Kluyveromyces lactis: one gene and its partner. Each later gene encodes a partner of the first gene's protein in a complex. Links are inferred from orthologs where the notes say so. Each region holds a gene or a part of one and is shown on either strand. Other genes may lie near its edges.

Region 1 (2,769 bases):
CGCATTCTGTTTCTGCTCTATGAGACGAGCTATTTGTTCATGAGTACTATCGGCTCCCCTAATAAATTTGTAAAAGCTATTGCACAGCGAGGAGAAAAAGTTCAACTGCGGTTCATCTTGTCCAGAATCATTGCGACTCTGTTCTTCTGTCATTTCGGCGCCCTTATTGGCCCTCTTGTAGTAGTTCTTAATGACATAACTAGTAATCGGGTCATCTTTAATATCAGTCACGCTGGGCGTGTTCATGACATTCGGCATTCTAAAATATAAGTAATATCCCGCTCAGCAGGTTTGTGTGTATGCAACAGAGCAAAGCGTATGTAAGCTTATTATCTGATGCTATGCTTCGTGCCCTTTATAGGTTGATTAGACCACATCAACAGAATCCTTTCAAGCAAATCAGTCATGTGGTGGTTATTAAAGTGTCATTCTTTGCTTTGTTTCCTTTGCATGTTTCCTTAAAGGTTTCAACGCCGTCAACAGTGATTGGGCATCGGTGTTACAACATCAAGCTGGTTAAAGAAGGACGATAAGGGTGTCACAATGGGTTAGTAAGGGTTCATTTATGGCTGTGCATGGTTTAATCCATGCTGGGCTATCTATACATACCGATAGATATGAGCTTTCTCGGGGCGGAATGATCTTTATGCCCTTCAATCTGAACGATTCCGATCGATTGATTTCCGAGACATAGTCTTCAACTGATTGCAACGGGTTAACGAACAGGTATGGCTCGATGATACTCCATAAGTTCAGTGTCAAGAGGTCCAATATGACGTTGACAAAATTTCTTCTGGTTATTGGGTTGTATGCAGCCTCTAAGAGTGAATTGATTCGAGTTACAATTTCAGTCCATTCCGCTTGATCCAAATAGTTTGATAATGGGCTCACTGACGTTTCGCCATACCATTGGCCTTCAAACTCTCCTGCCGGAACGAACTCCTTGTTGTGAGTATCTGGTAAGGCTGCTGGTTCAGACCCAGGTAACTGTGTGCTGAAATTAGGAAATTCTGTGGATGACTCAAACCTTCTGGGAATTCGAACGACTCTAGTGGTTCTAAATTCATCGCTTTCTTCAGGTACGTATATGTTTGGAAAATGGGTGATGCAGATTGGATTCTCAGGTCCATGCTCTTCGCATGATTCCTCATCTAGTGCTCTGTACTTTGTAATCACAAATTCATGGTAATTGAAGAATTTCGGTTGTTGTGCAGAAGTTGATTCTTCAACGGTAATCGCAGCTTTAGATAGATCTGAACTGTCTGCAGTATCTGCCAGTACCAGTGATACCATTTGTGTTGCAATGTTACCTGGTAGAATGCCGTTTCTACCTCTTATTTCCCGTATTGATCTGATATCGTTCGTGTTTTTACCCTTTTATGTAGGAATTGAAATAAATTTAACGGAATTGATATTTATGTTCAGATTAACACTAACACAAGTTAGACATCTAATGAAGAGATGTATAAGGGAGTATAAGGAACTAAACTACTACAATATCGCACATCCCACCTCCAATCATGTCTGAACTTGATTTCGTTGGTAAATTTTTGAGTTTGGCCGCTTTGAATGAGCCAAAACTTGCATCGAACTACCGCAAACCATTACATGAAGTTACAAACCTTGGTGTTTCGTTGCCCCCATTGAGGTACAAATATGATCCAAGTAAATCACATTCTAAGAGTATCTCTAAAGTTGTAGAAGTTACCATCAAATCGATCAAAGCGCCTAAATTTGTTCATTCCAAAAGCTTCGAATCTACCGATACCGTGGGTCAGATCAAGGAATTCTTAGTGGAAACCGAGCCTGAGATATATACAACTGGTCAAATCAAGTTGTTGTTAAAGGGTAAAGTCCTCCACGACACTCAATTGGTCTCCGATTTGAACCAGGATAAAATATCCCTTGTCGCAATGGTTTCCAAAGCAGAGAAACCTGTGGAAACAGCACCTTTGCCGAAACCAGCGCAGGAACCTGAACCTGAACTTGAGTTGATGGATGTCGATATGGAGGATCCACAGTTGGATCTTTCATCTCAAACAGATATTGATTTGCCTTGGGATAAAATTAGAACCGTTTTAGAGAGTAGCTTGGATGCTAGCACGGCCTCAGTGGCCCTTGGAAGGCTACAGAAAGGTTGGGAGTTGAGTAAGTAAAAGATAGAACATGTCATTTGTTGGTCCATAATGCAAAACAACCCGGTTATATATGTAGTGATTTTATACTTTTAGATATTTCTGCTCTTTCTTCCATTGGTGATGAGAGAATTACCTCTTTCTGCTCAATCTACGTACTCTTTCTTTGATGTTATTATTCCAATTTACCCCATTTAAACCCTTCTTGAATCCGTATCCTTCGTTAGAAAAGGTTTCATTGATCAGTTCCTGTGCCAATTTGGAGTCTCTCTTATTATTGGAGTTGGTGGTTTCATTCTTCATTACATCTTGGAAGTTCTTGTATTTGGCTCTTTGAGAGATAACGTACTTCTTACATCGTTCGATTTCCTCTTGATTGAGTGCATTGAATCTCAATCTCCTCTTGAAGATGGCTTTGTCTATAATATCGTTGGGGTTTATCAACCGTCTAGGGTATGTTTGAATAGCTTGGAATAATTCCATGTCTTCATCGTCTGAGTTTCGGCTGCTAACGTGATTTAATTTTGGTAAATTGGTCTCGCTTAGTTCGATGATCGCTAACGACATCTTGAAAAGAATGTGTGAACCCTCATAGAAGAGACAATCCCATATACGTAAGGTAGCTTCAATAGGT
Region 2 (3,164 bases), on another chromosome or scaffold:
TCTTTGAAGATAAAGTTGCGAATTTTTGGTGCGTTTCTAATATTTTCATCAAATATAGAAATCTATTCACTCAGAAGGATCTTCAATTATACTCATTACTCGCAACAGTTATTGGGCTTTTACCATCATTCATTATAACATTTTTATACCCGAAGAGACATTTACTACCATATGCTTTGGCCGCATGTTCGATGTCATTCTTCTTATTCAGCTTCCAGGTTCATGAAAAGACAATCTTATTACCTTTACTTCCTATTACACTCTTGTACACGTCAAGAGATTGGAATGTTCTATCATTGGTTTGTTGGATTAACAACGTGGCATTGTTTACACTCTGGCCATTACTGAAAAAGGACAATCTAGTATTGCAATATGGAGTCATGTTCATGTTTAGCAATTGGTTGATCGGTAACTTCAGTTTCGTCACACCACGCTTCCTCCCAAAATTTTTGACACCAGGGCCATCCATCAGTGATATAGATGTTGATTATAGACGGGCAAGTTTACTACCCAAGAGCCTAATATGGAGATTAATCATTGTTGGCTCATATATTGCAATGGGGATTATTCATTTTCTAGACTATTACGTCTCCCCGCCATCAAAATACCCTGATTTATGGGTGCTTGCCAATTGTTCCTTGGGCTTCTCATGTTTTGTGACATTTTGGATATGGAACAATTATAAATTATTCGAAATGAGAAACAGCACTTTGCAAGATTTATAGATGTTAAAATTTATAATAGCAGTAATGATACGGGGCGTACCTTGCAAGAGCAAAACCGGGATATATATTTCACTCCTCTGTTTAATCATTTAGGATTCTACTTACACTTTAATTAGTATTCATATATCGAATGTCAGTTTCGATCAAAAATAAACAAAGACAAAAAGCACCAGTATAAGACTCGTAAATGAGAAAAACAATTCTTCGTAATGAAATTCAATATAGTAAAACTCTCCATGCTGGATGCACCGTATTTGTGTAACGGCATACTCACTAAATAGGTAAAGTCTGAATATTACTTTAAAAGTATCATATGATCTGTTGTAGCTGTTATATAGAACGAAAAGTAGTAACCGTCACGAAATCTTATTCCTCGTGGCCCAATGGTCACGGCGTCTGGCTACGATGTTAGCTACTTCTGAAACCAGAAGATTCCAGGTTCGAGTCCTGGCGGGGAAGATTTTGTTTTTGATTAACTTTTTCCTTCTTTCAAGGAGCCAGCAACTCTTTGAACTTCCTTTCCATGGTTGATGGTTCCAAACTATTAGTAGCTTCTATCAAATATCACTACTTCTCAATTAAGACGGCACGAGTCAGCTTAAAAATGCTAACGATGTGAAATTGACGTGTCTCTGTGAATCTTTCGTCTTCTGTTGCCTTCTCTAACCGAAGGTTTTTCCGTACTTATCATTTTTTCGCCATTCACATTCAGGAAAAAGTTTATTATAATAGTGCTTAAATGACAAGTTGCCTGGATTTTATGTACTTTCAAAGAAGAGTTATCATTGACTCGTCCTTTGTTACTGCTTCATCTTATCGTATACAGCGGTTTGTGATCCTTATTTCATCTTAAAGCACTGTCAAAAGTTTAGAAAATCCGAATGTCCCTATCTAATAAGGAAATTGCTGCTTTGATTGTTGACTTTTTGTCATCATCGTCTTCTTCAGTAAACGAAGACTATGTTGATTCGTTGAATGTTGCCATCGACTGTATCACTGAGGCCTTCCAATTTGAAAGAGATGAGACTGATTCTTTAATCTCTGGTCCTTTTAATGGCAAGAAATTACCTGAACTATTAGCCTCAGCTCCCTCTTCTGGAGGCGTTTCTGGTGAACCAGTGAAGGTTCATATTCCAGTTGAAGATGCAGCAGCTAAGGCCAAGGCTGAAGAATTAAAGCTACAGGGTAACAAGGCCATGGCTGCTAAGAAATTTGATGAGGCTATTGAAAAATACACTGCTGCTATCGAAGTTTCTCCATCTAACGCTGTTTACTACTCGAACAGGGCTGCAGCTTATTCTTCTTTGAAGCAGTACGAACAGGCCGTTAAGGACGCCGAGCAAGCTATTGAAGTTGATCCTACATATTCTAAGGGTTTTTCTAGACTTGGATTTGCGAAGTATGCTTTGAATAAGCCTGAAGAAGCTTTAGATGCTTACAAGAAGGTCCTAGATATCGAAGGGGAAAAAGCTACTGACGTTATGAAAAGAGATTACGAAACTGCCAAGAAGAAGGTAGAAACCTCAATGAACTTAGAGAAGAGCTCTACCAGCGCTTCTTCTGAAGATGTTTCTGACAAATCTGCGACTGAAGGTCCTGGTGCAGGCGCTGGTGGCTTACCAGATCTTTCAAGCTTGTTAGGTGGTGGCGGTCTAGGCGGTGGTTTAGGAGCACTGCTAAACAACCCTCAAGTTATGCAAGCCGCTGAAAAGATGATGCAAAATCCAGGTCTAATGCAGGATATGATGTCCAATCCAGCAATGAAGCAAATGGCCAACCAATTCTCATCTGGTGGCGGCATGCCAGATTTGAGTCAAATGATGAATGACCCATCTATTAGAGACATGGCCAAAAACATGTTTGGTGGCGGCAACGGCAGCCAGCAATAACCAGTATACCCAAACTTTTGCTTGTCCTTTTTGACTGTATATATTTGATCTATATATGACTAGTTAAACATGCCCTTTCATGGTATCAATCAATTGTTGCATGATTTGTTTATTTTCCCTGATTCTTTGATCAACTATGGATTTAACGATATGATCGTGGTAAAACTGCTCTTTGAATTCGATGAATAGATTTATCCCCACTGCGATCGATTCATGTGTTGTTTTGATTTCACCGCCAATTTTCTTAAGGTTCAAAGAGCTCATTTTCAGTTGATTGGATAACTTATTCCTAAATTTAGACCTTTTACCTTCAATGTAGGTATCTATAAAATTTCTGTTTGCTGAAGAAGGAGGCGCCTTGTCATTTGGGAAATTTTTCTTCCACTCTTTCTTCAGTTCCATTAATTCACCAAAATGTTTCCACCATAAAGTTGTCTTTGCGAGAAGAGACTCAAAGTTATTAAGTAAAGTGACAACAGAGTGCTCTAGATATTCCAAGTTTCGAGTAAACTCATAATATGAAAGATCATAAGACCAAGCGCAGTTTGTA

The links.
Region 2: the proteins of MDY2 (region 1) and SGT2 are in contact, whole or in part, in an NMR structure (PDB 4ASW), measured with the Saccharomyces cerevisiae proteins. The link is inferred for Kluyveromyces lactis from reciprocal best matches to the Saccharomyces cerevisiae genes MDY2 and SGT2. Residues at the interface, in NP_014530.1 of Saccharomyces cerevisiae: Gln82, Lys118, Leu120, Gly123, Lys124, Val125, His127, Met147, Lys149, Asn151; in NP_014649.1 of Saccharomyces cerevisiae: Asp28, Gly29, Asp31, Ser32, Asn34, Val35, Asp38, Cys39, Glu42, Arg48.

What each region holds. Positions count from the first base shown.
Region 1 is NC_006037.1:674,556-677,324, reverse strand, and holds MDY2 (Mdy2p), read left to right. Parts: upstream 1-1,520; coding exon 1,521-2,156; downstream 2,157-2,769. Other genes in the region: TGL4 (triacylglycerol lipase), read right to left, coding at 1-258; SHR5 (Shr5p), read right to left, coding at 517-1,293; Rab GTPase-activating protein MSB3, read right to left, coding at 2,268-2,769. UniProt on the Saccharomyces cerevisiae protein: Required for efficient mating. Involved in the production of alpha-factor, the KAR9 and TUB1 location to the shmoo tip and nuclear migration into pheromone-induced shmoos.
Region 2 is NC_006040.1:104,297-107,460, reverse strand, and holds SGT2 (Sgt2p), read left to right. Parts: upstream 1-1,606; coding exon 1,607-2,614; downstream 2,615-3,164. Other genes in the region: ALG6 (dolichyl-P-Glc:Man(9)GlcNAc(2)-PP-dolichol alpha-1,3-glucosyltransferase), read left to right, coding at 1-725; KLLA0_D01133g (uncharacterized protein), read right to left, coding at 2,678-3,164. UniProt on the Saccharomyces cerevisiae protein: Co-chaperone that binds to the molecular chaperone Hsp70 (SSA1 and SSA2). Regulates Hsp70 ATPase activity. Required for recovery from heat shock.